4 linked regions of the Caenorhabditis elegans genome follow. The protein of the gene in region 2 purifies or fractionates together with the protein of the main gene of each other region. This does not show direct contact. Each region holds a gene or a part of one and is shown on either strand. Other genes may lie near its edges. The genes, in order: pgk-1, gpd-2, aldo-1 and gspd-1.

Region 1 (7,498 bases), on a different chromosome or scaffold from region 2:
TAAATGACTACTGTAGCTCTTGTGTCGAGTTACGGGCTAGGATTTTAAATGAATTAAAATCATTTATTTATCGATAGAATATTAAAATTAAGCAAAAAAATGAGAAAATAATATCACTGTAGCTATTCGAAAATATACTAGTTTCAAAAATCAAGCCCGCAAATCGACGCAAGCGCTACGCTACAGTAGTCATTTAAAGAATTACTGTAGTTTTCGCTACGAGATATTTTGCGCGTAAAATATGTTGAGCAATACGCATTCTCAGAATTTTTTATAAATTTTTATTTCAATGCAATGGCCTTTAAAATTTCAGCTAGTCGCCGACCCACACGAGGGTAAAAACAGCGAAGGAACTCGATGGAACAACGTGCCACAAGACGATCAAAGAGCTTTCCTTTGTAAAATTGCTCCACTTCACTAAATAATTGATTTGAATAAATAATTTCAATTAAATATTTGATTGAATGCAGTACGGTTCCAGCCTACCGTAACATGTATAGCATTTGTATTGAGCCACGTGGTATGTCCCATTACGATTTGATCTACAAAAAATGCGGGAATTGCTTTCCCAAAAAAAGGGACGTCAGCACGTCCTTAACCATGCGAAATCAGTTGAGAGCGACTAAATTCCCGCAATTCTCGTAAATCTAGGTAGATCAAACCACCAAGTCGACACGGTCAAATGCGGCCATTATTCTCGCGTGCTCCTACCCGTCTCTGGCGTTTCAATGAGCCTGGAGTGAAGTGGTATATTTTCTATCAATTTTTTCCTCACTCAAGATATTTTTTTAGCCTGGCTAGGCGCGACGGCCCTCATCATCTGGAAAGTCCAAACAATTGACAATACCATCCTCTGCCACTGCTGGGTGGCTCCCACTCACCCCCAGCGCCCAACGGCACCCAATGGCAACCCAACTGGACAATCGGCCAAAGAGTTGAAGAGAATGCGGCAGAAGCTGAGACACGTGCTAAAACAGTAAGTTGTACAAGCCACCTCCTAATCAATGTTATAATATAATTTTAGGAAAGTTGCTACTTTAAATCATCATATCAACCGCCTGGAGGACTCTCCAAAATCCCGGATGTCCTTTACTGAAGAGAATATCAGGGACATCCGGTTCCATTTCCGGGAGGTCCAGAAGCTCCTGAAATTCGATAATTGAGAAGTTCGCTTATTTTTCCACAATTCCCCCGTCGTTCCTCATCCAAAACTTGCCCGTTTGCCTCTATTACCGGTTTCTTTCCATTTTTTCAGTTTCATGTACAATAAATCCTTTCTCACAAATCACACAATTATCAAAATCCAAAGAAATTGACTAAACTGCCAGTCGCAGAACGTTTTGGTATTACGGTAAACACAAAATTCTGAGAATGCGTATTCCGCAGCATATTTGACACGCAAAGTATCCCGTAGCGAAAACTACAGTAATTCTTTAAATGACTACTGTAGCGCTTGTATCGATTTAGAAATATTTTCGAAATTAAAAAATGCGTTGCTTCGTATTATTTTCTTAATATTTGCTTAATTCTAGTATTCTATCGATATTTAAATCCATTTCGAAAATCGACACAAGCGATACAGTAGTAGTTTTAAGAATTACTGTAGTTTTCGCTACGGGATACTATCAAAATTTATGAATCGATCCTTCGATTTTTGCAAAATCGAAGGATCGATTCATAAATTTTGATAGTATTTTGCTCGTCAAATATTTTGTGCAATACGCATTCTCAGAATTTAAGTGTTATCGTAATACCGTAACTGTTAAATGGTCCAAATTTTTCAAATTTAATGTCCGGTCCAAAAAAATTAATTAATTCATTTTTTCATTATCACTGAGAAATTCAAGATCAAATCTATATCACATATTCACAGATAATGGCGTTATATTTAGCTCCTTCTGCACCTCGCTGAGCTGCTTTTCAAAGTGATTTTCCCAGTCGAAAGCCATGAAGAATCGTGCATTCGTGGCCTGCTCCACAACCCAAGGGAGGTTCCGGTCGACAAGTTCTTGGCGATTTCTAGAATTTTTAAATTTTATTTTCATGGTTTCGTCTCTCTTTCTGCTTACTTTGTTAAAAGCCTGGCACCTCCAAATATTCCACCAGTGACACACATTGGAAGCCCATATTGAATTCCTTCGAAATATTTGACTGTTACCTCGCCGAGCATGTTCGTTTTCTGCTCCAATGCGATGTGGGTGAAGTCGTGTGTTTCGCGATACCTGAAATTTTGAATTTTTTTGTTATTTACGTCGATTTTTAAAACCTTTGCATAACATAAAGATGCTCCAAATTATCGATATACTTGACAGTGGGCCGAGCATCTGGAGATGTGTTCAAACGATCGAGAAAGCTGAAAATTGAAGTTTTTCAATTTTTTTTTGTTGTTTAATATACTTTCACATACTTTGAATACAATTTTCCTAATGTTCCATCCGGTAACTGTCTTAGCCACTTTCTATCAATTGTTCCATTTGAAATTCTTGGTTTTTCGAGAAGAAGTCGCTTTCCAACAACATCAGATTCCATTCTTTTTCGAATATTTTCTAAAACTGGTCCAATTGCAGTAGTTTCGCCCATCGCTGCCACCATATCTCCTCTTTTTGGATCCGAGATCGCTGTTACTGCTGATCCAATCCCGAGAAGCATCCGAGACAGCGGTGCCAAGGGAACATGCGATGCGTATAGCTTTTGAGCAGACATCTGATTTCTTTTCTTTTTTTTTCAATTGGAAAATGACTATAATGTATTGGTAGATATACGGAACTCTACGATTAAAAAACTCTACGATTAAGTGAACTCTTAATTTATTCTATAGTTATACACTTTATTTATACTTCATGTTACATGGAAGATTGTGAAATCACTGGGAACAATTCAAGACTAATGTGGGAAAGTTTTTAGAGAGAGAAAGAATAAATACAAATACACTATTGGGCAAGGAATAAACAATAGAAATTAGAAAATTATTGAGCTGGCGAAAGAGCATCAACTCCTGGCAGAACTTTTCCTTCGAGCAATTCCAAACTGGCTCCACCTCCAGTTGAGACGTGAGACACCTTATCTTCCGTGTTATACTTCTTGGCGGCGGTCGCAGTGTCACCTCCTCCAATGATTGTGATGGCTCCGGCAGCGGTGGCCTTGACAACTTCATCCATCAATGACTTGGTGCCTGTGGCGAATTTATCAAACTCGAATACTCCTGCTGGACCGTTCCAGACAATCGTTTTGGCGCGTTGAATGGCAGCGGCGAAGATCTTAGAAGATTCCGGCCCAACATCAAGTCCCATGTGGCCATCTGGAACACCTTCCTCGGCGGTGACGGTCTTCGAGGTTGCGTCCTCGGCGAACTTGTCAGCAATGACGAAATCCACTGGGAGATGGATTTGAACTCCCTTTGCCTTGGCAGCCTCAAGAAGCTCGTTCACAATTTTCGCTCCTTCTTCGTCGTACAAAGAGTTTCCGATCTTGACTCCCTGGGCAACTTTCAAGAAGGTATAGGCCATTCCTCCGCCGATGATCATCTCATTAACCTTGTCTAACAAGTTCTTGATCAACTGAATCTTGTCAGCGACCTTAGCTCCTCCAAGGATGGCCAGGAATGGACGAGCTGGGTTGTCGAGGGCCTGAAAATTTAATAATAAAATTCAATATGAAAAATTGGAGGAAAAAATTACCTTGCTAAAGTAGGAGAGCTCGTTCTTGAGCAAGAATCCACTTGCACGTTGTGAGTGCTCGACTCCAACCATGGAGCTATGGGCTCTGTGAGCGGTTCCGAAAGCATCATTGACATAAATATCGCCAAGCTTGGTGAGAGACTCGCGGAATTTCTTTACGGCTGCTGAATCAGCCTTAACCTTGGCACCGGATGCATCGACTCCTTTGCCCTCCTCTTCCAGATGATAACGAAGATTTTCAAGGAGAATGACTGATCCAGGAGCTGGATCGGCGCATGCAGCCTCCACTTCTGATCCGACACAGTCGTCGAGGAAGAGAACATCTCTGAAAATCATTTGTAATTTTTTTAAAATCAGATTATACAACAAACTTTTTCAAGAGAGCCTTCAACTCTTCAGCAACTGGTTTCAAGGTGTACTTGTCTTGGCGTCTGCCATCTGGACGTCCCAAATGTGACATTAAAACGACAGATTTGGCTCCGTTGCTAAGAGCATGCTGAAATTTTGAATATTATTGAAAATGTTGTTTGAAATAAATTTGAATTGATTACCTGAATGGTTGGAACAGCGGCAGCAATACGTTGATTGTTGGTGATTTTGCCATCCTTGAGTGGGACATTGAAGTCAACACGGATCAAAACTCGCTTTCCGGCGAGGTTCAACTGGTCGATAGCCAACTTGTTGAGGGAGCTCATTTTTCTGAATGCTGAAATTGTTTGATATTGATTTTCAAAAATTTCAAAGATGGTCAAAACAGGAGAGAATGTTAAAATTGAGAAACAAACAAGACAACTATTTTGACGAGCGACGTGAGAAATGATAGAAGTTGTTGCTCGCCTTTCTCTTTTACACTGGAAACGCAGAGAGACGAGAGATCGAGCGAGAGACCGCGCATTTGGATGGGTTGAAACGAATCAAATAAAAAACACATGAAGAATAACCGAAAACACAAATATAAATGTTTGAAGATCATTTGAAATTAAGAAGGCATGAACAGTAGTGATAAAACAAACCATTTCTAGAAATTTGATCAAATATGCTGTCAAAACAACGTCACTCATATAGATAAAAGTAAAAAATCAAGAATCACAAATGTTTTAGGGAAAATCTGAATTAGAAAATTGGAAGAAATGAAAATAATACATTTTGTAAACATTTTTTCTCAATTTTGGATGAAATCGATGAAGGGAAACCTTCAAAATTGTAAGACAAAAAGGCAAAAACAAAAAATAAATGGAGACCCGAAGAACTCGGGGGATGTCCAATTGGGGGGATTACCAGGGGATTGGTCCCGCCCACAGAACCGTGGCTTGCAATACGCCCATTTCTGCAACTGCCGCACGGTTTTAAAATTATTTTTTCTTGTTAATTCTCGCTCTATTGAGAAAAATACAGTTTTAAAACCGTGCGGCATTTGCAGAAATGGGCGTATTGCAAACCACGGTTCTGTGGGTGAGGCCAATCCCCCGAGTTGGTAATCCCCCCAATTGGACATCCCCCGAGTTCTTCGGGTCTCAATAAATGTTCGAAAGTATAGAAAGCATGCAAAATTGCGTTAAGTTAAATGCTGTCTGTGCAAACATCTCCGCAAAAGTTCAAAATTTTTTGCGCGGGGGCGCGGGTCTCACCACGAATACCGTACACTTGATACCGACAGGCGGGAAAAATCATTTTTAGAGTCTGATTTTTAGGCTTTGATTTTATTCTATTTTTCTCTTTTCGTTTTAAAATTTTATTTTCTTGCGGATCATTAGAAAAAAAAATGAAAACGCGCTTGAAATAACTTTCGAAGAACTTGGTTGAAATCAATATGTACTTTAAAGAGCTACCGCTCAACTAATATTGCACGAATTTTATTTAGAAAACTACTAATAAATTCTGCGTTTAGTATTTTCTACTGTTAGGGACGTGGAGGCCTTGTTGAAATTCGTGAAAACAAGCATAAATAGATCTCGATGAAGTATTATTCATTTTTCTTTATTTCACCAAAGCGTATCGATTGGCCTCTCTTCAAAACTGCGTTTGACTTGGTTCGGCTATTATTTTATACAAAGTCTGTGTCTTTCTCCCTTAAAATCAATCAATATTTGGCTCATAATACCTTCTTGCCTTTTGAATGCGAAAAGAAAACAATAAATACGTTTCCTCTATCCTCTTCTCGTAGCCTTCCCCCTCTAACCAAACGCGCTCCGTTGTACAATGCAAAACCGCCACTTTCAAATTTAGCTCCCATTTGACATCGAGAAGTTTGCTTATATTTATTCACCTCTTAAAATTGTCTTTTTTTCAAAACGATATCAAATTGCAGAATGAATCGAAAACCGCGAACCCGCAGTACGATTGTTCCTGGTCGAGTAAGTGATTCAGATTTTTAAAATTCTTAACAAATGTTTGATTTTTACAAAAAAAAAGTTCCACATTATGGTAATTTGATTGCTTACTTATTTTGTTTATTTCAGAAAATGATCACTGAAATCGTTGCTCTTCGTGAGGCTGGCTTGGACGATACAAGACCGTCGTACTTGGAGGAACCAACAGTTATCGTCGATGAATCGATGATGAATGATAGTGCAAATTTGGAGGAGCGAGAATGGAGAAAACAGGGACTATCTGAGAAGCAGATGTTCGCTATTTTGGAGAAAAGGAAACAAACACAGCTTAACAATGTAAATTTCAGTCACAAAATCTTTTCAACACCTAATAAACTATATTCAGGCCAGAAAACGTCTCGAAAAGGAAATGTACGGAGCGAAAACCTTCAAAGAGTTGATTGCTTGTCGTGAATACTCCGAATGTGAGAGCGACAGCGAGAACACTGTGAATCAAAATGTCCGAAGCGCTTCGGTTTTTGCCATTCCGGCGCTTCCGAAACACATCAGTGAAAAGTCGATGATGGGCTCGCCAATTGCTAATTCCAGAGGGGTATGAGATGAATTTGCGTGTTCATAGTTTAATAAATCTATAATTTCAGAGTGGAAAAGCTGGATTAAGTTGTTCAACTCCCAAGAGCTCGAGTGATACGTCGATGAGGTCCTTGAGATCGCTTGATATTTCACATGTCGTCAATACCGATCGACTAGATGCTGAAAGAGTGGTAAAATTTGTTTGTTTTAAAGATATTTAAACTAACTTTTATATCGTTTCAGACTGTTCACACCAAGTCTGTCGTTATCCCAACCATTCTCGAGGAGAGAGAGTCAACACTCCAGAAAACTCTCACGATTGAGAAGAATCACAGCTCTCAGCTGCAAAAAACCTTCACTGTGGCTGAAGATGCTCCTGAAGAACTTCAGAAAACGGTGACAATCGAGAAGAATCAGAGCTCGGAAATGCAAAGAACGTTTACGGTGGCTAAAGATGCATCAAAAGAGCAATCACAGCTTCAAAGAACGGTAACGATCGAGAAGAATCAAAGCTCTCAGCTGCAAGGAAACTTCACGGTGGCTAAAGATGCTCCTGAAGAACTTCAGAAAACGGTGACGATCGAGAAGAATCAGAGCTCGGAAATGCAGGGAACGGTCACAGTGGCTAAAGATGCAGAACACTCCTCTCTACAGAAAACGTTCACAAAGCCGACCGAGAAAGATGAGTCATCACTTCAAAGAACTTTCAACGTAGCTAACAGAGATGAAAATAACGATTCAACTCTTCAAAAGACGTTTATTATTGAAGAAAGAGATGCATACGAGCAAGGAACCACGAGTGTTGGTGTGAAGCCTCCAGTACTGGCACAAAACACGATGGAAGGAGGAGAAAAACGGAGAACGTCGAAAGTCACTTCGGATGAGCGAGAACGACGTAATGCCAGTATTTCTAATCCT
Region 2 (7,129 bases):
CTCCCAGATAACGTTTTAAATGCAAAAGGAAAAGTATAATTTGTACGCTTATTTGCCCTCCCCGCTTTTTCTTTGAATATTTTATTTTTACTTTGTCACTGTCTTTTTATAATCCCATCTTTCACAAAAGCAAAACACAATAGCATTATATTAATAGTTTTATGCAACAAACTATTCATTATTTTATGAATGGATTTCTCTTCCTTTCCGAATAAAGTCCTGCCATTTCATGTAATGTCCCTAAACAAAAACACTGATTTCTTTATTCCATTCCAGTCAGAAAATCGGTCATGTTTTGTTTTGATGTGCTTTTCATTTTGTACTCCACCCAAAATCATTGCTGATTTCTTTATTATAAGCTTTCGCCTATTTACTTTTAATGAAAAACGACAACTATGGAATAAATATTTATAGCTGCCAAGTGCGATGTTTTTTGGACTAATCAATAGGTACAGAGAACATTCTGGTAACACGATAAAGGATGTTATCAGATTGTATCGAATACTGATAAAAAACTTATTTTTTGTTTTTTGTGGGCAGTTCGCTTTCCTAGGTAGTTGTTTTTGTTTGATGTCATTGAAACATCAATTTTTAGTGAAACGAGAAAACCGGAAAATTTTCAACGAATTTGCCAAGTTTGAACTTTTGATTTGTTGATTTTTCGTAATATGATAGAAGATAGTGGGTTTTTTAAAAAACCTGAATTATGCAACTTTTTCTCAATGAACGTCACAAACTTTGTCATAGGAACTATTATTTAAAATATAGTGTTGGAAATATAATAATTTGGTTAAACTTGAGGTAAAGATGACACACTGTTTAGGCATGTTTTGGTAAGTTATTACATTACACGTTTATGATACATTAAATTTTGAAAAATTGTTATTGACAGTCAAAAAGTGGAAATTCCTGAGTTTTTGCCACTTTTTGAGAAAACTATAGCACTCTCGCCTGTTAGAATTATTGACTTCGTGCATTCAAACATATGCCATTAGAGTTTTGATCTCGAAGTGATTTTGAACTTTTGGTTGATATTAGCTTTTATAAAAGATCTCACGTATTCAACTGATCAGATACATTTGAATAAATTCTGATTCATCGTGTGTCTATTAGTAAATTAGATTTTCTTTCAGAAATTGAAAAAACTAGTGACTAGTGATCAGTGATAACTGATATAAAACATTCTTTGATGTCAATGAAAAACACTTTTCTCGTTGATTATTTTCCAACTCCTCCCATTTACTCCGGCCACTAGTTTGATCTTCAGAACGATTGACTAGCGACTGCGCCTTTTCATCTTCGTGTTGTTCTATATTTTATCATTGAAAACTTTCGGGTTGGAAAAGAGTTGCTCCAAGCGAAAAGAAGAGCAACTCCTCAAATCTCTTCTTTTCCTGTTACTACACTGCCGTTGCCTACGTGCCAACGGCCAGCAATCGTGTGTCGGCGACGTCGGCATCTCCATCGATTCGTGCCGGCTGGCTAGGCCGTCGTCGCACTCGCAGTTGGCCCATTTTCTCTCTATGCATCAGTTGAGGCTACCCGCCTCGCTCCCTTCACTCTCTATGTTCGCCTCGCCACGGCGGCTCCCCTAAAAAAACAGCGACCCTGCCCTGCCTTCTAAGGAAACAACACAACAGAGTTTGACTTCAAGGAGCTCACCGGAAACCAATGTTGCTCTTGCTCACAAAGACTTTTGAGGTTAGTAAATATTTTATTTCGTTCTTCTTTTTCTCGAAGGTCAAATGTTGTAAATGTTTCAAAGTCTTCAATTGTTTATGATATCAATTCACGGGCGGCTCGAAACTCTCTTCTCGACCCTTTCTCTAAATCCTCTGCAACACACGCACTATTTTCTACTAGATCAGAGTTTACTGACACACACACACGTTTTGTGCGTTCAGTTCACGAGAGTGCGGTGTGTGTGTGTGTTTGTGAGTTAATGTTTGTGCGTGTATATTGATGTGTGTGTAAAAAAAACAAAATCGATTGCCGTTTGGAAATGGGCGGCCCAGTGTCCTCGGTCTCCGGCCATCGAAACGCCACTCGCATTGTGAAATTTGTTTTGGGAGGGCCTGTTTGCATCACCTTCGCCCTTCGCTCTCACTCAAGATTACTTTACGTGCTACAAACTTGTGTGTGTGTGTTAGCTGCTTTTCTTCTTTTTCTTCTCAGAAATAAAAAAGGCATGCTCCCTTCGACGTCTTCTTGACAGCTTTCTTCTTTCGCTTCTCTTTACTTTTGGAGCCATGCTCATATAATCCAGTTAGTTCATTTCCAGGAAATCAAAACAGATGTCAGGATCTGGAAGTGGAAGTGGTGCTGGACATGGTGGAGGCTCCGGCGGCTCAATCCGTGAAGCAGGTGGATCACTCGGCATGATGGGCGCCACCAGAGAAGAAGAATACTTCCGAAGACAACAAAAAGATCAGTTGGACAATCTCAAGAAGAAGCTTGAAGCAGATATGACGCAAAGCCAACAGGAAATTCGGGATCATGAAAAGGTACGAGACACTCCATTTAAGGAAAACACGCAGGAAAATATTGTTGTTGATTAACTCGTTATTCTTTGATGTGTCACATGACACTGCCGAAACTCTTATCTGCGAAAGTGGCGTGTTCTAGAACTGATTCAAAATAGACCGGGGACTCCTTTCGAATCTCTCTATTTTACACAGTTGACCTTGATATGTTAGAGAGACGGGCGACTAGCGAGCATAATGAAGAGATAGATTGGTTTTCACAAACAATCTCTTTTTTTTTGTTTTCCACTACCTTTCAACGTTCTTCAATACTTTCATTTCAGGTTCTCGAACAACATCAGCAACGACTGAAGGAAATCGAGAAAGGACACGGAACATAAAAAATAGAGGGCTTTTCAAACGGCTCTCTGTTCTTTTTGCATCATCATTTTCAATTTTCCCTTTCTTTTTATGCATACTTATTCTCTCCTCTCTATTTTCTCTCTCACACCGCATTTCTTCATCTTGCCTATTGCATCATTTTTTTTTCGCTTACTGCACATGTTTCGTCAAATAGTAAACATGGTTTTTATGGCTTCACTTCATATTCTTCTCTCTTCAATTTGATTCGATTTTCATTTCGATCATTCTATTTTTATTTGTCGTTTGTATGTTAGTTGAACTGATTGTAGTAGTATCAATTTTCAGCCATGCCAAAGCCAAGTGTCGGAATCAACGGATTCGGAAGAATCGGACGTCTTGTCCTCCGCGCCGCTGTCGAGAAGGACAGTGTCAACGTTGTTGCCGTCAACGATCCATTCATCTCCATCGACTACATGGTCTACTTGTTCCAGTACGACTCCACCCACGGACGCTTCAAGGGAACCGTTGCTCACGAGGGAGACTACCTTCTTGTCGCCAAGGAAGGGAAGTCGCAGCACAAGATCAAGGTAGAATATTTTCCAAACATATTTTGTTAAACATTCTCTTAAATTTCAGGTCTACAACTCAAGAGACCCAGCTGAAATCCAATGGGGAGCCTCTGGAGCCGACTATGTCGTTGAGTCCACCGGAGTCTTCACCACCATCGAGAAGGCCAACGCTCACTTGAAGGGAGGAGCCAAGAAGGTAACTTGTAATCAACTTTTGTGCATAAATATATTTAAATTTTTAGGTCATCATCTCTGCTCCATCTGCTGATGCTCCAATGTTCGTCGTCGGAGTCAACCACGAGAAGTACGATCATGCCAACGACCACATCATCTCCAATGCTTCCTGCACCACTAACTGCCTTGCTCCACTTGCCAAGGTCATCAATGACAACTTCGGAATTATTGAGGGACTTATGACCACTGTCCACGCCGTCACCGCCACCCAAAAGACTGTTGACGGACCATCAGGAAAGCTCTGGAGAGACGGACGTGGAGCTGGACAGAACATCATCCCAGCCTCTACTGGAGCCGCTAAGGCTGTTGGAAAGGTTATCCCAGAGCTCAATGGAAAGCTCACCGGAATGGCTTTCCGTGTCCCAACCCCAGATGTGTCTGTTGTTGATCTCACTGCTCGTCTTGAGAAGCCAGCTTCCCTCGATGACATCAAGAAAGTTATCAAGGCTGCCGCTGACGGACCAATGAAGGGAATTCTCGCTTACACTGAGGATCAAGTTGTCTCCACCGACTTTGTCTCCGATACCAACTCTTCCATCTTCGATGCCGGAGCATCCATCTCACTCAACCCACACTTCGTCAAGCTCGTCTCGTGGTACGATAACGAGTTCGGATACTCCAACAGAGTTGTTGATCTCATCTCGTACATCGCCACCAAGGCCTAAGCTGTCTCATCCTACTTTCACCTAGTTAACTGCTTGTCTTAAAATCTATGCTTCTCTTTAGTATCTAAAATTTTCCTAGAAGCTTACAAGTATATAAATGGTCTCTTCTCAATAAAGGTTGTATATTTATTCATCTTATTGAATCTGCCATTTCCTCGTTTTTGCGAGTTTATATACCTTCCAATTTTCTTTCTATTGTATTTTCAACTTCTAATTTTAATTCAGGGAAACTGCTTCAACGCATCATGACCAAGCCAAGTGTCGGAATCAACGGATTCGGAAGAATCGGACGTCTTGTCCTCCGCGCCGCTGTCGAGAAGGACAGTGTCAATGTTGTTGCCGTCAACGATCCATTCATCTCCATCGACTACATGGTCTACTTGTTCCAGTACGATTCCACTCACGGACGCTTCAAGGGAACCGTTGCCCACGAGGGAGACTACCTTCTTGTCGCCAAGGAAGGAAAGTCCCAGCACAAGATCAAGGTAGAATTATTTCCAATTAGATTTCACCTAATATTCTATTCAATTTCAGGTCTACAACTCAAGAGACCCAGCTGAGATCCAATGGGGAGCCTCTGGAGCCGACTATGTCGTTGAGTCCACCGGAGTCTTCACCACCATCGAGAAGGCCAATGCTCACTTGAAGGGAGGAGCCAAGAAGGTAAATTAGTGATTTAATTTTTCAAGATAAATATATTTAAATTTCAGGTCATCATCTCTGCTCCATCTGCTGATGCTCCAATGTTCGTCGTCGGAGTCAACCACGAGAAGTACGATCATGCCAACGACCACATCATCTCCAATGCTTCCTGCACCACTAACTGCCTTGCTCCACTTGCCAAGGTCATCAATGACAACTTCGGAATTATTGAGGGACTTATGACCACTGTCCACGCCGTCACCGCCACCCAAAAGACTGTTGACGGACCATCAGGAAAGCTCTGGAGAGACGGACGTGGAGCTGGACAAAACATCATCCCAGCCTCTACTGGAGCCGCTAAGGCTGTCGGCAAGGTTATCCCAGAGCTCAATGGAAAGCTCACCGGAATGGCTTTCCGTGTCCCAACCCCAGATGTCTCTGTTGTTGATCTCACTGCTCGTCTTGAGAAGCCAGCTTCCCTCGATGACATTAAGAAGGTTATCAAGGCTGCCGCTGACGGACCAATGAAGGGAATTCTCGCTTACACCGAGGATCAAGTTGTCTCCACTGACTTTGTCTCCGATACCAACTCTTCCATCTTCGATGCCGGAGCATCCATCTCACTCAACCCACACTTTGTCAAGCTCGTCTCATGGTACGATAACGAGTTCGGATACTCCAACAGAGTCGTCGACCTTATCTCCTACATTGCTACCAAGGCCTAAGCCGCTTCAAATTCTCTAAGTCTGAAATGAATCTGTAACATAATAAATTCCACATTATTGTAACTTTGATTCTCATTTTCTTTATAAGAATAAATCTTTTAGCTGGAGTAACTAAAACTGTGTTGTTGGATAGAAAGCATTTTTCAATGGCTATATCAAATTTGAAACGTTGAATTCGAACCTTTCACGAGGTTTACACTCATTTATATTCTTCGTTGTGATTGTCCGTCATACAAACCCGATTAAGTTTCCGTCTAGCCTCTATGTTTACATTAAATTGAGAAGCGATGAGAAGTGTCCAGTGTAGAGTGCAATGTGCACTCAAAATGTCGGCACATTGTCACTTTGCTAACATTTTTCCCAGAGTCATTTGGGATACTTGTGTAGTCCCAAAAAATATTAACTATTAAGCTTAGGATTAGTGCTTTTCTAAGCCTGAATAGAAAACTTATTGGAAACAATTTTTGGTCACTTATGTAGTAGATGTATCACAATATATTTTCATAGGATAACTTTTTGTAATGGTAAACTCGTGAGAAATAATTATTTGTAGACCTAAAAATTCCAGATTTAATTTTAAAAATTTAATAATATTTTGGGGTACTTCTACTTTTCATCTACCTTTCCATATTTGATATTTCATTCGCAATTATACAATCTCAGAAAATTCCTATGGTCACGTTATTCTTTGTCGTAGACAGTTGAAAGATGAAGGAAAAAACGAGAATAGATATCACAAAGTCACGTGGCAAAATCCATCAACCTGTTGTTAGTGACGTTATTTTTTGCCTCAAAATGCGGGAAACGATGTACGCATGACTCTGACGAAGTCTGCCTGCTTCTACGGGTACACTTGAAATGAAGCATAGAAAGCTGGCTGCGTTTTTTTCTTGTTTCGCTTCACGCCGTTTTTCTTTTTCTCTTTATTCTCTTTATATTCTCTTTTGTGCGGGTGCGTTTCCAATTCCCCGGAGCCCATCTTCTTTTTTCCTCACTATTTCTTTTTCTTCTTCCATTTTGCCCTTCTCATCGATTCAGAAAAATTACTGGCTCGTGACAGAAAAGAAGAACCAAAAAAAAAAAGCATTTGGGGGCTCGGAACAAAATGAAGCAAATCCTCCCAAGTAAATGTAGTTTGCCGAAATAACGTGAAATTGAAATTCGATATTTTATAATAGCACTCTTTTTTTTTCTGCCACAAACGACACTAACTTCATTTTGTTTTTTTTTGTCGATCTGACACTGGCCAACAATAAACTACCAATGTTCGTTGTTTTTCATGTACCCAATCTTAAGTTCTAGTTGAAGAAGAAAAAAGAAAAAATAATCATTCAACTTTTTTTCCTTTTTGCATTAGCACCAGCATTTGCTCCTTTTTCTTCTTTGTCCCTACCCAGACTATCAGTCCCATAATGACATTATCGTTTTTGCGATAAGAAAATTGAATCGTTATCGATGCGCACCTTGGT
Region 3 (7,285 bases), on a different chromosome or scaffold from region 2:
CATATGGTGACAAATTGACCGAATATCATAATATAACTTTTCAAAAAAAAATTTCAAAATTTTTTATTTACGGTCAAAAAGTGACAATTACTCAGGTTTGCCACTCATAATTTTGGAAATTTTTTGGATTGTTTTATTATGATATACGGTCGTTTTGGATTGTAAGTGTATTTAGACAAAATCCCCAATGGCGATACTCCACTTTTAACCACGTGGTATTCTTATTTGGTTGATTGATACAATTTGCACACACACACGAAAACTATTGTCAACATTTAAATGTTTCAGATCTGATTCCTCAACAATGTATGCATATGGTTTAAAAGAATCAATCGTGTTCGTATTTGTGGTAATTGTTGCAATTTTCTCTTTAATCGTTGCGACACAAAACTGCTCACAAATGATGCTCGCTGCTATAATTGGCCAAGGGTACGTTCGTTTTTTTCTGTTTAAAATTTTATTCAGTTAATTAAATTTTACCCAGATTTTTGTTGAAATTTTTATAATTTCTACAATTTATTTTCAGAATATGCATATTATCAATATCTAGTGAACTATTCACTTCTGAACGGATCTCTGCAATTTTTAACGAATTGAAAAGTTTTGAAACTGCCGGATCTACTATTGAAATTGGGTGAGTTTTGGGAACTCAATTTTTTTACTAGAATTTCTAGCATTTCGGGAAATTTTGAAGGGACTTCTAAAATGCACTGTTTAAATCATTCCAGCAGCAAATAAAAAAATCCGAAAATGTTTAGAATTTAATTTTTAAAAATTATTTTTAAGAACGTTTGGCGCAAAAGTGAAACTTTTTAACTTTAGAGAAGAATCATGAAAATCAGTGCAAAATTAAAATTTTAATATTTCAGAAAAGATGATGCAAAGGCATAAAATTGGACATTTAAATTTTCAACAAAAAAATACTAGACATAAAATTTAAATTCTAAGTTTTCCAAAACTTTATCGCTACAAATTTCAGTTTAAAAAAATTTTGCGCTAAATTCAAATTGAAATAATTCAAAAATAAATTGGTGCAAAAGTCAAATTTTAAACCGTCTTTTCTGGTTTTCAATTTTAAAATCTCTTGTCCAAAGTTAAGAAAACTCAGTTCTTCAAAATTAAACCAATAAAAAACCTTGCAGAATAGTCCTCTTAAACGGGTGTGCAGTGGTGTCACTACTCGTATTGGTCCTTCAATTGATTGTCTTTGTATTCTGCGTCTCTCCAATCTCCACACTCTCTGCCTCGTCAATCGGTTCTACGAATTCCTTACTTTTACTTGACAACAATCGAAATCCCAGTGGCAGCAATCGAGTCGAGAGAACCGCGTTTTGAACGTTTGCTCAACTTTCTCCGCTCTTCCCCTTTTTCACTTTTTCTCCAATTCTTTCAAAAAATAAAACTATTTCTTCATTTTTATTTTACTCTAAACTCAAAAATATTGGCCACATTCATTTAGACAAAGAACAACTGTCAACTATGGGTCAACATTTGACAGACATGAGCATTTCACGTGGGAAATGGCCAGATAGAGCATTACCTAGAGAAAATACTTTTTTCTATGTTCGTCTTACACTTCTCATCTATCTATATACAGGAAGAGCTTTTCGATAATCGAGTTTTTCAAAACAGTTTGTTGCTTTTTTTTTGGAATTGCTTAAATTTTCAGCTAATTGAGAATACGCTTGGTTAAAATTTTAAAACTTTTTACATTCCAAAAGCTTCTAAAACTTGCCAGTAACAACTTTTTCTCAATTCCGAGCTACGGTTTTCCCGCATTTTTCAAACATCTTTTTTTTTTAAGTTCCCAATATTTTTTTTTCAAAGATTTTGACAAAAACCATTTTTTCCGGCAAATTGCCGAAATTGAAATTTCCGGATCCCCTCTGATTCAAACTCTGAAAATTAGAAGAATATATATGTTAGTCGTGATAAGATGTTGCTTTTATAGATTTTGCAAGGCATTCTACCTAAATTTCCAATGGTTAAGTTTTCTTTGTGCACATTCAAATTCTGGGTCCATGAAGAAAAAAAAACAATTTCATAACCCTTCTACGTTTTCTCTAAACTCTCACTATTCGCACAATTGCATCATGCCTCCTCCATATTGCCATCTCACGCAAAAAAGCACATAGCCATTCTCAAAATATCTTTTTCACATCACGTCGTTTTCTATTCGCTGTCTTTTTTGTTGTACCCATGTTATAGTTTTGACATAGAAGCTCATTTTATTTACAAAAATGAATACATAGATGTATTGCTTGTTTTACATAAGATCCTCTTCTTGTTTTTTTTTGTCATGATTTGTCGTAGATTTTGAATTGTTTTATTAGTACGTGCCTCGCATGTTCTCGTACTTATAGTAGCCTTATAGGTCTTACGAGAATGCCCAGGGAATAAACAGAGCAGGGGTATACGGCAAATTTGCCAAATTTGCCGTTTGCTGAGCTCGGTAACTTTGCTGAATTTGCCGAGCAAGACAAATTTCAAAAAAGTAGATTTGTTAAATTTTCCGAGCTCTGCAAATTTCGATATTTGCCGCACATGCCAAAGTTTTGACATTACAACTTTGACCAAAACCATTGGTTTTGTCCCCAAAAATTGAGTAAAATGACACAAAATTGAGTTATTTTGATAATTAATACAGAGCGAGTTACGGAATATGGCAAACGAAAATGCAGTTTACTCTAGTTTTTTTTTAAATATAACTATGTGGTCTAAACCCTATAATATTGGAAAACTAGGTAAATTGTGTTTTTATCGTAGGGGCAAGTTGGCTCATTTTCGAATTAAAAAAAAAAAACAAAATGTGCCAAGTAGGGTCGATTCCTCTGAAAAACGATTGCATCATTCCAAATTTCGTAATCTCTTTTACATTATTTCAATTTCAGACTACTCCAATGAGTCCTAAACTAGGCTCGAGCTCATAGCCCGGCTGCTCTAAGTACGCCAGAGGCATATGTCTGAAAAGCAATTTCAACTTTCATATCTTCATATCTCCGCACGCTTCCGTGAACCAAATCAAATCAAATCCTCCAACGTTGAAAAGTTCAAGACTTTGGCAATTCCTGCTCCTCTCGCTTCTTCAAACTATTTCTCACGTTCTGCTCCAACAGCAGTTCTTCTTCTTTTACTTCTCACAAAATTTCGTGCAAATCACGTAGGGCCCCTCAATTCCCTCTCGCCACTCTGCACGGCTTCTCACACACTCTTGCTCTCTCGCCAGGGGCTCTCCGTCTCCCTTCTCGGCGGTGCCATCGATTCGTTTGGCGCGAGAGAGAAAGCTCCGGCTCTTTTCACTTTTATCAGCGGCCCTTGTTTTTCACCGACTTCACTCTTGCACATTTTCAGGCAACTTCATTTTCTAAAATGGCTTCTTACTCGCAATTCTTGACCAAGGCCCAGGAGGACGAACTCCGCTCCATCGCCAACGCCATCGTCACCCCAGGAAAGGGAATTCTCGGTAAGTAACGATATTAAATTTGGGAAACAAAATTTGGCATTTTGTGTGTTACAAATCTAATCTCTAATCTCTCCAATCTCCCTGAAATTCGAATTTGCAGCCGCCGATGAGTCCACCGGATCCATGGACAAGCGTCTTAACAGCATCGGACTCGAGAACACCGAGGAGAACCGCCGCAAGTATCGTCAACTTCTGTTTACCGCCGGAGCCGACCTCAACAAGTACATCTCGGGAGTCATCATGTTCCACGAGACATTCTACCAAAAGACCGACGACGGAAAGCCATTCACTGCTCTTCTCCAGGAGCAAGGAATCATTCCAGGAATCAAGGTTGACAAGGGTGTCGTCCCAATGGCCGGAACCATCGGAGAGGGAACCACTCAGGGATTGGATGACTTGAATGCTCGTTGCGCTCAATACAAGAAAGACGGAGCACAGTTCGCCAAGTGGAGATGCGTGCACAAGATCTCATCTACGACTCCATCAGTGACTGCTCTTAAGGAAATTGCCTCCAACTTGGCTCGCTATGCTTCAATTTGCCAACAAAATGGACTTGTACCAATTGTTGAGCCAGAGGTAATTACCGAGAGTCGAGAGCCGAGAGTCGCACAGCACTGGTACCTACCCACCTAAGTTCCTTTTGGGGGGATGTAGTCGTAGATCGGCTTGAATGTAATACTTAGAACGGTTTTCACAGAAAATTTTAATATTCGATGCAAAACCCAAGTTAATGCCACGTCCGTTACTTGGGTCTCGCAGCAGTTTTTTTTTTGTAAAAAAAATATAATTGGCACTCTAATTAGTTATCATTTCAGATCCTCCCAGACGGTGAACACTGCTTGGCTCGCGGACAGAAGATCACCGAGACCGTGCTCTCATATGTGTACCACGCTCTCAACGAGCATCACGTCTTCCTCGAGGGAACCCTCCTCAAGCCAAACATGGTCACCTCCGGACAATCATTCACCGGCGAGAAGCCATCGAATGCCGATATCGGACTCGCCACCGTCACCGCCCTCCAACGCGGAGTCCCATCCGCCGTTCCAGGAGTCGTCTTCCTCTCCGGTGGACAATCCGAAGAGGATGCCACATTGAACTTGAACGCCATCAATCAAGTGAGCGGAAAGAAGCCATGGGCCCTCACATTCTCCTATGGACGTGCTCTTCAAGCCTCCTGTCTCGCCAAGTGGGCCGGAAAGGACGAGAACATCGCAGCCGCCCAAGAAGTCCTGCTCCATCGTGCTCAGGTCAACTCCCTTGCCTCTGTCGGAAAATACACCGGGGATGCTTCAGCTGACGCAGCCGCTTCCCAATCCCTCTTCGTCGCCAATCATTCTTATTAAATGGCCACGCTCAGGATCTCTTTTTTCTCATTTTTTAAAACTATTCAACGCACGTAGAATTATGTGTCTGTATACCCCTTTAATTGTCATTATTTGCTTCTCTAAGTCTCTTCGGATTTAATAAATCTTTGGTAGATACGAATGCACAATTAAAGAGAGATGTATCTTTGGAACATTTGATTCAAGCAGACAGACAATTGAGCGATGGCTCGTCGCGATGCATTCATAGTGATGACGTCAAGATGTCTTCTACTACTCACTATTCCTTGTAGGTTTATGTGTCTGCTCAATTGTTGAGAACAGAAGGTGCCTAGTGTAAGTGCGAGAGAACAATTTCCCAGTGGAGCCGTTTAACCTTGGGCAGGTGCGATGCACATTTTCAGATCGATATCTAACCAGTTGCACACTATTCGCAACGCATTACAGCCATTCATTTGTCCATTGCAATGTACTACCGCGAAGTGAGAGGATCTGAGATCTTCTATACCAAGTACTATGGTCCGCCAACTGAAAAGGATACCTTGGCTGCCAAGAACCCTTTTGAAATGTAAGTGTTTTTAAAACTAAATTTTCTAAATTTCCAATAGTAAATGTGTTACACCCTGTCGTTGGATTGTTTTTGTTTTCCAAGTTGTTTGATCTTCAGAAATCGACTAACCGAGATTTTTAAAAGTCAAACGAATAAATCAAACAAAACCAATATAAACATTTCCAGGATGGACTATGCCTTAAAATCCCCGGAGCACCTAACTTCCGCCCATTCATACACAAAGAATAACCACTGTCAATGCTATGAAATCGCAGTCGATATCTGTTCTGAGCCACGTGTTCGTGTGAAGGGTCTAGACCGTTGTTGGGAGTACCAGATCCAATCTACCGTGAATGCTCCGCCAACTCCTGGAGAGATGCGAGTCATTGAATTTCTCAAGGTTTACACTACGCGTATGTATTCAGAAGATAAGATTGAAGGACTAAAGAAGTGGACGGAGAACGTAACTAATGTACTAGACTTTCCAATTCATACGATCAACTTCTCACTGGACGCCTTTCCCCAGCAAAACCGAGAAATCATCGATTGGCTTGCCAAAATTAGAAAGGACATTCCAGACGTTAACATTTTCGGGAGCAATGTGGTAAATGAAGATTTGCTCTATTTACTCCAAACTGTCAATATCACCGATAGCGTCGAGTTCCACTTGGATACCGCTGAAATATTTCCTTACGACATCCCAGTCCGCGCCAAGTACTTCTTGAGCTCTCAAACAAAATGGATTAGCATCAAGCAACTTATGAAGCTGGAGTGCACTGATATCATCGCAAACGACACTGATTTCACTGACGAGGAGCTAAGCACGTTCATTTTGAGTTGGATGAAAATGGAAACAAATGAGAATTTGACTTCTTTGATGACTCCGATCAAGTCCCCTAAGGCGGTTCTTAGCAAGTTACCTCATGTGATTGATGCGAAGGGTAACGTTATTCTGACGCGGGATAATGAAAAGAGAGTCTGTTTCTACATCTTGGAGAAAAATGGACTGAAAAAGCTCATAATGAGATAAAATTTTAAATATTTTTTTGGCGAATAGTAGATATTTTTTTCATTGTATTTATGCTTTCCGAAAAACAAGCTATGTATGTTTCTCTTTTTAATTTTCGTGATATAACACTCTTCTTAAAGTTTACTATTTCAATTCACATATGCCAAAAAGTGTAAATTCTGAATATCCTTTTATTACAATAAACATGTTCACCTACTCTTGCAACGTGAAGCGTTTTTTTTTCAATTTCTGACTAAAAATTCGTTTAATACGGTATCAGGTCTCGACACGATCAAAAAATTTCTGTATTCTCTATTTCAGCACAGGTTTTTTCACGAAAGCATTTTAGCGGGTTTTTTAAAATTTTCTAGGGTCTTTTAAGTTCAATTGGTATTTTTTTTAATTAATTAAAAATTTTAATTCTATATCACTTTCAAAATAAATAATACCAATTGTATTGCATTTCATAACATTAATGACTACAGTACACTTTAAAGGCGCATCGCTCAAAGTTACAAATCAGGTCTCGTCGCGAACTTTATTTGCGAGCAAGACATTTATTTTTTTAAACCTTTTCAGGCTTTGTTTCTCCATTTTCTTCGATTTTCATTCATTTTTCTATGATTTCTCTATTTTATTGTGAAAATATGTACTTTTCGTTGTTTTATAACCGTTTTGCTGTTTAAAATAGATAGCATCTGCATTTCCGAGTAGTTTTCCTCTTTGTCGAACTTGAGAATTTGTTTTCGAGGCATTATTGATGATTTAACAAGTCATTCTGAGTTTAACTTGTTAACTTTTAAATGTTTGCCGTAATTTTTGTAAAATTTCCAAGAAAAGCCCCAATTTTATTCAGATATTAGAGAATTCCGTGCTAAATCCGAAGTATTACAGTAAATAGGCCGGCAAAAACCGTAAAATCGAGAGAATATAGCCACGAA
Region 4 (8,472 bases), on a different chromosome or scaffold from region 2:
TGCATATTCGATTGCTTCTGAGAACTTGTGTTTTGCAGAGAGGAATTGGAAGAGTGAAATGATAAGAATAGTTCCAACAATGACAATTCGAAGATCTACTTTTGGAGCGGCGCGAAGACGATAATATTGATAGTAATTGTAGAATCTTAAATAAAGAATATTTAAGTGTTCATATTCAGAGCGTCATACCTTTGATCAGGATGATCGAGATAATAGTCGTAATTAGTTTTTGCTTCATCATCCTTAAGTGTTTCATAAGCAGTGGCAATTACTCGGAAACGTTCTTCGGCGAGAAGCTTCTCTTCCTTATTCTTGACTCTATCTGGATGATGCTTCCTAGCCAGAGCTCTATATGCTTTAGCTAGCTTCTGCTTATCGAATTCCTCACGATTGACTTCGAGTACTGTAAATATGAATGCATTTATAGTTTTAACGTTTTCAGATCTTCATGAAAGTTTTGACTCACCATCATAACAGTTTTCTAATCCACAATAGAGCTCTGGAGCAAATCCGACCGATTCACATTCCTGGACGAAAAATGATACTAGTAAGAACAAGATGGGCGCCGCAATTGCTGAGCGCATTCTGCTGAAAAACAAAGATTGAGAAAAAATTTAAAAATGAGAACTGAAATATGAATCACCGAAAATCGGAAAATGAGAGAAAAACACAAATAATCATAGGTGAAATGTGACATGTTTATGAAGCAATCAACACCGGAAACAATGTAAACATTACGGATCAAAACCGATCTGATAGTGAGATTATGGAGTCAACATAAAATAAAAATAGTCATGTACAGTAAATGTGCAATAGAAAGTTTTAGGCGATACTTTGATCCTTTGATGCAGCATAATCACCGAAATACTTATTGTAATGCTCGTTGTCAATGTCAAGGAATGTAACAAGTACAATCCGTTCAATTGTATCATTCTTTTCAAGATACTCGGTCAGGAAATTGGTGACGGTTTTAGCGGCATCGTCATTTGGATAACCGTACACACCAGTAGAAATGCAACAGAAGGCCTGAAAATATATAATATTTGCAGTTATTTTTCAGATGAAACACTTACAATACTCTTCATCCCGTTCTCGATAGCAATATCTAGTGATGTTCTGTAACATGCAACAAGATTTTCACGCCGTTCATCTGTGACATTTCCATATACTTGTGGACCAACTGTGTGGATTATTTCTGAAAATTCCAATAAAATACGATCAAACAATGCTATAAATACTTACTTTTGATGTGATTAATATTGCATCCAGAGGTAATGACAGCATCTCCGACAGCACATCCGTTGTATTGCTGGCATTCTTCCTGTAGTTGCTTCCGTCCAGCTGCACGATGAATTGCACCATCAACGCCACCACCTCCAGCTAATCGACTGTTTGCTGCATTGACAATTGCGTCGACGGAAAGTTTAGTAATATCTCCATCCCAGACACTGATACGGCCCAGAACGTTTTTGGCAACCTTGACTGAAAATTGTGTACTATTTTAGAATTATGAAACGCCTGAAGCTTACATTTTTCAAAGAGAGTTGGAATTTCTGAAATTTTAGCTGCTGCCATTTTTTATCAGCCTTAAATTTGAACTGATAGTGACTTAAAAACAAAACAAATTAGGATAAAACAACGCGTGGAAGAAATTGTTCACGAGGACTACACGCAACATGGACTAGAATTTCGTGCGGCCGTGGCTGAGTTTTCTTATTTTTATGTTTCTCTCTCCAGAATTTTCTGTTTAATATCTTTTAATGTTGTTTCTTCGTTGTTTCTTTAATTAAATCTTTGAATTAAAAATAATTTAGAATGCCGGAACACACGAAAGTTTCTGCTGAAGACCAAGCGCTTCTCAATAAATTCGCTCGGTCATACCAAACACAAACCCAGTTAAAAGTACGTTTTTTTTTAAATTTTACATTAAAGTTTCTCTTCTTTAATTTCAGGCAGACGTTAAAGAAGCTAAAACACTCATTGACAATATCAATGAAGCAAGTGATGAAATTTTGTTGCTCGATGATGAGGATTCAGCATCAATTCCATGCAGAATTGGAAGCTGCTTCGTTCATTTCAATGGGGTGAGCAGTTTTTTTTTTAATTTGAATTGAGAATTAACGTTTGGTTTACACGAAAGTAGTGATTGGTTTTCAGGATAGTCTGAATGAGCATTTGGAAGGAAAGAAGACAACAGCAGAGAAGGTTTTGTCTGAGAAAACCTCCGAGTTGGATGCAATCTCAGCGGACATGGAGCAAATCAAGAAGGTTTTGTACGCCAAATTCGGAGATCAGATCAATTTGGACGCTGAAGAATAATCTATAAATTCTAATTTCTTATTTTGCTCGATTTTGTATCTTTTCCGTTGAAGCTTTCATATATAAAAATTATCTCAATTTAAAAATTGCTTTTCTCACCTTTTTCACAACGTGTGCTCACTGTTCACTGTTTCCGCGTATTTTGCTGATGAATTTTTTCGACCGATTTTCCTTATCACGAATGGCACCACCCACTTGTGGGTCACACCAGATCCTAAATATCAATATAGTGGACGGGAAGAGGAAGGTTTTTTCGTGTTTGGTGTTCATTTTAGTTTACATGTTTTGTTTCCCATTGCTCTTTATTTATAGAGGAGACGCTCGCCCACGTAATATAATAGCATTTTGGAAAAATCCATTATCTTTCAGACAATCTTATCATGATTTCCACAATAGACTGGCTAGAATGTAGCATTCTAAATATTTGAATTTAACAGAAAATATTCAATTTCTCTTTAAAAAAATACTTGAAAATTAATTATATTCCCAAATTGGCAACATTCTTTCCCGATTGTCTTTCTGTCCATTTAATTTGTCTGCCCTTTCTTTTCTCACCTTTTTTATCCGTTTCTTTCTTTGTCACCTCCGAAGTTTTGTCAGCATTTTCCGTTTTTTTCTCCTCATATTTTGTTTGCACTTTTCACCTTCTAAAAAAATGATCGGCAGAGACACAAATAAATGTGGCCATTCGTGTGCTCCGTTTTCCAAATGAAACCCGATTGGCAGAATTTATGGTTGAAAATGCATAGTTATTTAGGAGTTGCAAAGAACAGTTTTCATTCTTCTTTTTCTTTGTCTTCTTGTTAATTTGGTAAACTGATCAGACGTTAATCAAATTGATAAACTTTCAAGTTCAGTGATTTTTGATTTGTTTTCTGAAAACGAAATTAGTTTTTTCTCTGATAGACTAAGTCTTCGAAGAATTCATCTTCCAGATAAAATCCAAAAAAAATGTGTTCCAGAATATCCTAGTCGGTCAACTAAAAGTCAAGAACCATAGATTAAATCTAGAGTTACAAAGTTTCGTCTCTTCTCCAGAGTCAAGTTACTCGAGTTTTTATGTTTCCTAGAGAAATACATTGTTTCTTTTCATTGTCGATCAATGTCGCCCAGAGAACATTATTTGTCATGGTTACCACTCGCACACACTACACAATTTCATTCAGTCATCATTTTTTGTGACCCGAGAAGATTTCAGTAAATATTTTCATGTTTGTAAAGAGACTGGCGCATCCACTTTTCTCTTACTGTTTCTTTCTTCTCTCGCTGCCCTGTGAAAAAAATGGAAGTGGAGTAAAAAGTGACCGATTTATAGTGTTGTTCCAGTTGTTCCAATTCATTTATATTGTAGACTGCGGTTCGCTACTAGGTATATGATTCGAAAGGAAAAATTACATTTTTTAGTGCTAGAAATTAACATTATTCCATTAAATGTAACTAGCTGAAAGTAAGCAGTTTATTACTCTGCCAGTAAAAAAGAATTGCGCAGAATCATTATGAAGTACATCAATATATCAATTAACGTATTTCTTTTTGATTTTTCGTTGTATAAATGAAACAATAATCTCACTTTTAAATAACATTTATGTGTATCTAGATGGTTTACTTTGAAACTTGTAGTTTCTACTATTTACCTCTCAACACGAGTAATTTTTGTGAATCAATGTTCGTCATTCTCACTTCAAAATCTAGTTTATAAATTTACAGAAATGGCATGCAAACGTCATTCAGTGTCCGATCCCATTTCGAAGGATCTCGTCGAGTGTCTTCGTGAATCAATGCAAAGAGATCTCAAATTTGAGACTCCGTACGTTTTCGTGATATTTGGAGCATCGGTATGACATCTATTCCATATATATCGATTATTAATTATTTAACATTTTTTCAGGGAGATCTCGCAAAAAAGAAAATATACCCAACACTGTGGTGGTTGTTCCGTGACAACCTTTTGCCAGTCAACATCAAATTTATTGGATATGCCCGTTCCGATCTGACAGTTTTCAAGCTTCGTGAATCTTTTGAGAAAAACTGTAAAGTTCGAGAAAATGAGAAATGTGCTTTTGATGACTTCATCAAGAAGTGCTCATACGTTCAGGTAAATCTACATCTGCTAATAAATAGGCGTGAAACTTTGTTCCAAAAATACAGTGCTCGGTCTCGACACCACAAATTTGTGTTAAATGCGAAAACGTATCACCTTTAAACAGTACTGTAGCTTCAAGCTTTTGTCGATTTCAGATTTTAAAAAAATTGTTTTAAAACTGAAAAAAAATAATTGCAACACATACATTTTTTTTACAAATCAGGTAGGAAAACTACGAAAACCAACAAAAACTTGAAACTACAGTACTCTTTAAAGGCGCGCACTTTTTTGCATTCAACAAAAATTGTGGGGTCGAGACCGGTTACCGTATTTTTCGCACAAAATCTTGTTACTGGGTAATAAAAATTTGAATCGAAGCTTTTTTCTAGAAACTTTGAACATAAAAAGCACCATTGACATTTTTTCAGGGCCAATACGACACTTCTGAAGGATTCCAACGCCTTCAATCTTCAATTGATGATTTCCAAAAAGAAAGCAATAATCGTAGGTTTAGAATTAAATTTCACTCAATCTAAGCAAATTTATAGAAGCCGTCAATCGTCTCTACTACCTCGCTCTTCCTCCATCAGTTTTCAACGTGGTTTCTACGGAATTAAAGAAGAATTGTATGGATCATGGTGATTCATGGACACGTGTTATCATAGAAAAACCATTTGGACATGATTTGAAATCATCTTGTGAACTTTCAACTCATTTGGCGAAACTTTTTAAAGAAGATCAAATCTACCGTATTGATCATTATCTCGGAAAAGAAATGGTTCAGAATTTGATGGTTATGCGGTAAGAATGTTTTTTCAAAGTATTTGAAGAGATTTATAATTTTATTTTGAACTTTCAGATTTGGAAACCGAATTCTCGCTCCATCTTGGAACCGCGATCACATTGCATCAGTTATGATCTCATTTAAAGAAGATTTTGGAACTGGTGGCCGTGCTGGATATTTTGATACAGCTGGAATTATCCGTGATGTTATGCAGAATCATTTGATGCAAATTCTAACTTTAGTCGCCATGGAGAAACCAGCAAGTTTGAATGCTGAAGATATTCGTGATGAAAAGGTCAAAGTGTTGAAAGCTGCTAAAGTTGTAGAATTAAAGGATGTAGTAGTTGGACAATACATTGCCAGTCCTGAATTTGATCGTGAGTTTTTCAAAAATTACAATTTTATAAAAGTTTTGATTTTTAAATACATTAATTTTAGACCCAGAAGCATCACAAGGATACAAAGATGACAAATCAGTTCCAGCCGATTCGACTACTCCAACGTATGCTCTTGCTGTTGTTCACATCAATAATGAACGTTGGGAGGGTGTTCCATTCTTCTTGCGTTGTGGAAAAGGTAGGGAATATACAAAAAAAAACCGAATTTTTAAATTTCAATATTATTGCAGCTCTCAACGAGAAGAAAGCAGAAGTTCGTATACAATTCAAAGAAGTCAGTGGAGATATCTATCCGTCTGGTGAATTAAAGCGATCCGAATTAGTGATGAGAGTGCAACCAAATGAGGCAGTTTACATGAAACTGATGACCAAGAAACCTGGAATGGGATTCGGTGTTGAAGAAACTGAACTTGATTTGACTTATAATAATAGGTTAGTTTTTGAAATTTCTCTTCAAAAAAAATTTCATTGTGATAATTTCAGATTCAAAGAAGTCCGTCTTCCTGATGCTTATGAACGCCTATTTCTCGAAGTATTCATGGGATCTCAAATTAATTTCGTTCGAACTGATGAGCTTGAATACGCTTGGCGTATTTTGACGCCAGTTCTCGAAGAGCTTAAAAAGAAGAAAGTTCAACCGGTTCAATATAAATTTGGAAGGTTGGTTGTGTTTCTTTTTTTTTAAAATTAAATACAGTAATCCAATTTTTCAGTCGTGGTCCAACTGAAGGTGACGAATTGATGAAAAAGTACGGTTTCATCTTCACTGGAACATACAAATGGGTTGCTCCAAAGCTATAAATGATACCAGATCTTCCTCTATTCATTCTCTTTCAAATGTTTGTAGAAATAACTTCAAAAATTCAGCAGCTACTAGTTCATATGTTTTCCTGTGTTCCACATCAATATTATTCCTGCTCTTTTTTCATTTGTTAATGTTCTATTGAATGAATGAAAATAAATACGTTTTCAGTTAAAAGAAGTGTAGAACGATAAGATAAGCCAGTAAAAAGGCTTATTTTAAATAATCTGTATTCAAAAAATAATCATTTTTTCGACAAGCCGGTTACGGTGCGCCAGTCCGCAAACACTCTGCATACACTCTACTTCTACAGTAGTGGACGTGCGACGCGTGTTGCGTCGCGCATCATCATATTGTTCAATTCTTGTTCAAGTTCAATCATATTTTCTTCGGATTTCTATCATTTTCCATCGGATTTCCCATCATTTTTGCACAAATGTTTTAAAGTATCAATATCTTTGATTTAAAAAAAAACGTCTTTCTTGTTTTACGTCTTTTTCTTGCTAGCTGCACATCGTATTACTCATTCTTTTTTTCAGCCATGGTTGCTGCTTCCGCTACCCGGAACATGCTCCAATCATATGGAAAACGTGGAATTTACGTTTCACTTGCTGTCGCTGTCGTCTCGACTGCCGCATTCAACGCATTTTACGTTTGGCCACGTCACAACAAATATGAAGAGTTTTTCGCGTCAGTGTGATCCTCGCACAAGTGTCTCCCGGGCAACGAGCAAACTTGCAGAAACTACGATTCGTACACTCGAATGAAAGAGATTTGTTCTGCTAACAAGGGGTACATGCATACTTGTCCAAAGGAATTGGCGAAATTGTACGAAGAGAAAGGGAAAGTTGTTGCCGAGCACTAAATGTTTGATAAATTATTCATAATAATACAAGTCAATAAAGTCTATCATTTCTTTATTCAGTTATTTGTTTTATTCTTGATCAGTACTTTGTGGTTTGTACCACATTCATATATTTTTATCTAAAATTTTCTATCCACGAAAAACCTCCCTTTATAGATAAAAATGGTCGAGAATAAGAGTTCGTACGAACTGCCTGATCAAAAAACTCTTGATATGAACAAAGAATGGGTGCAGGAGCTGGAGGATGTGAGTTTCCAATTGTTTAGCTTATAAATATATTTTATTTTTTATTTCAGATTTTCTACAGCTACAAGAAGTACGATGTGAACAAGGTCAGAGTTCAGCAGTTTTTGGACAGAAGATCCGATTTCCTCGTCTATGACTTTTACACCTCTAACCTGTCAATGGAGTATGTGAACAATGTCACCTTTAATAACCTCATTTATACAAATTTTCAGTGCGATGCAGTATTTCCAAGCAGGTGTAACTCAAAAGGACGTCGGACTGAGCAAAGACTACATCCTGCTCATGCGTAAACTGTACAGTATGCTCACGGAGCCGAGCAAGCAGTTTTTCCAGGAGCAATTCGTTAAGGAATGGCAATATCACGAAATTGATTATACGCCATATTTCGAAACACTCGTTCCCCGATTCAGGGAGAAAATTGCGAGATTATTGGATGAAATTGTCAAAAATCCTGAAGAGGTCGACGACGATGTTCAGGAAGAGGTTGGATTTATAATTTTGAAACAAAGTTCATATTGATATTTCAGTTGCGCTGGCACCTGCTCTTCTCACCAGTCACCACTCTTCTGGACATTTTCACTCGATGCCTCAAGAACTTCGAAATCACTGGATTTTGTTTAAATGTGTGCCTAAAAGTGCCACAATTGTTCTTCGATCGTCCGCTGAAAATATATCACACTGAATACGAAACCGATCGCGTTGAATCACTCATGGCTCTGGTTTTCCGCAGATTGATTTTCAATAAGCGCTGGGTGGATACAAGTGACGAAGAGTGGAGCAATTTGGAACAACTCGCAAGGGTGATATGCTCAGGACAGGAACCCTCGTTGATGTCTGCATGGCCACTTCTGGAAGTGGTGCTTTGCGAACTCTACACTCAGAACAGAACTCCCATGATATCAGTGGAAGTTTTGAGCGAAATTGCTGTGAAAATTGTTGAAAACTTCGATAATTTGAAGTATGCCACGTCGGCGA

What was found.
Region 1: the proteins of gpd-2 (region 2) and pgk-1 fractionate together in Caenorhabditis elegans (co-fractionation; one large-scale study listed by BioGRID). This does not show direct contact.
Region 3: the proteins of gpd-2 (region 2) and aldo-1 fractionate together in Caenorhabditis elegans (co-fractionation; one large-scale study listed by BioGRID). This does not show direct contact.
Region 4: the proteins of gpd-2 (region 2) and gspd-1 fractionate together in Caenorhabditis elegans (co-fractionation; one large-scale study listed by BioGRID). This does not show direct contact.

The regions. Positions count from the first base shown.
Region 1 is NC_003279.8:3,864,426-3,871,923, reverse strand, and holds pgk-1 (putative phosphoglycerate kinase), read right to left. Parts: upstream 4,384-7,498; 5' UTR 4,373-4,383; coding exon 4,229-4,372; intron 4,174-4,228; coding exon 4,049-4,173; intron 4,003-4,048; coding exon 3,678-4,002; intron 3,627-3,677; coding exon 2,967-3,626; 3' UTR 2,815-2,966; downstream 1-2,814. Other genes in the region: clec-53 (C-type lectin domain-containing protein), read left to right, coding at 314-421; coq-4 (Ubiquinone biosynthesis protein coq-4, mitochondrial), read right to left, coding at 1,860-2,019, 2,070-2,222, 2,267-2,353, 2,408-2,703; hcp-4 (HoloCentric chromosome binding Protein), read left to right, coding at 5,987-6,031, 6,137-6,343, 6,393-6,599, 6,649-6,771, 6,824-7,498.
Region 2 is NC_003284.9:3,110,731-3,117,859, reverse strand, and holds gpd-2 (Glyceraldehyde-3-phosphate dehydrogenase 2), read left to right. Parts: upstream 1-3,170; 5' UTR 3,171-3,172; coding exon 3,173-3,412; intron 3,413-3,461; coding exon 3,462-3,590; intron 3,591-3,636; coding exon 3,637-4,293; 3' UTR 4,294-4,417; downstream 4,418-7,129. Other genes in the region: mai-1 (ATPase inhibitor mai-1, mitochondrial), read left to right, coding at 2,295-2,504, 2,807-2,863; gpd-3 (Glyceraldehyde-3-phosphate dehydrogenase 3), read left to right, coding at 4,539-4,778, 4,828-4,956, 5,004-5,660.
Region 3 is NC_003281.10:13,561,004-13,568,288, reverse strand, and holds aldo-1 (Fructose-bisphosphate aldolase 1), read left to right. Parts: upstream 1-3,351; 5' UTR 3,352-3,369; coding exon 3,370-3,463; intron 3,464-3,563; coding exon 3,564-4,039; intron 4,040-4,278; coding exon 4,279-4,806; 3' UTR 4,807-4,943; downstream 4,944-7,285. Other genes in the region: exc-12 (Protein PNS1), read left to right, coding at 289-429, 527-634, 1,143-1,335; T05D4.2 (F-box associated domain-containing protein), read left to right, coding at 5,253-5,353, 5,522-6,365. UniProt on the Caenorhabditis elegans protein: May be involved in the metabolism of fructose-bisphosphate (beta-D-fructose 1,6-bisphosphate) and of fructose 1-phosphate.
Region 4 is NC_003282.8:11,313,393-11,321,864, forward strand, and holds gspd-1 (Glucose-6-phosphate 1-dehydrogenase), read left to right. Parts: upstream 1-4,026; 5' UTR 4,027-4,028; coding exon 4,029-4,154; intron 4,155-4,207; coding exon 4,208-4,414; intron 4,415-4,830; coding exon 4,831-4,906; intron 4,907-4,950; coding exon 4,951-5,203; intron 5,204-5,261; coding exon 5,262-5,563; intron 5,564-5,624; coding exon 5,625-5,762; intron 5,763-5,814; coding exon 5,815-6,016; intron 6,017-6,067; coding exon 6,068-6,244; intron 6,245-6,297; coding exon 6,298-6,385; 3' UTR 6,386-6,559; downstream 6,560-8,472. Other genes in the region: DnaJ homolog dnj-2, read right to left, coding at 1-145, 190-403, 467-584; B0035.3 (Macro domain-containing protein), read right to left, coding at 823-1,026, 1,074-1,195, 1,243-1,482, 1,530-1,575; pfd-4 (putative prefoldin subunit 4), read left to right, coding at 1,816-1,902, 1,953-2,084, 2,158-2,319; B0035.18 (Mitochondrial cytochrome c oxidase subunit VIc/VIIs domain-containing protein), read left to right, coding at 6,928-7,076, 7,128-7,251; Protein edg-1, read left to right, coding at 7,414-7,497, 7,548-7,660, 7,710-7,980, 8,025-8,472. UniProt on the Caenorhabditis elegans protein: Cytosolic glucose-6-phosphate dehydrogenase that catalyzes the first and rate-limiting step of the oxidative branch within the pentose phosphate pathway/shunt, an alternative route to glycolysis for the dissimilation of carbohydrates and a major source of reducing power and metabolic intermediates for fatty acid and nucleic acid biosynthetic processes.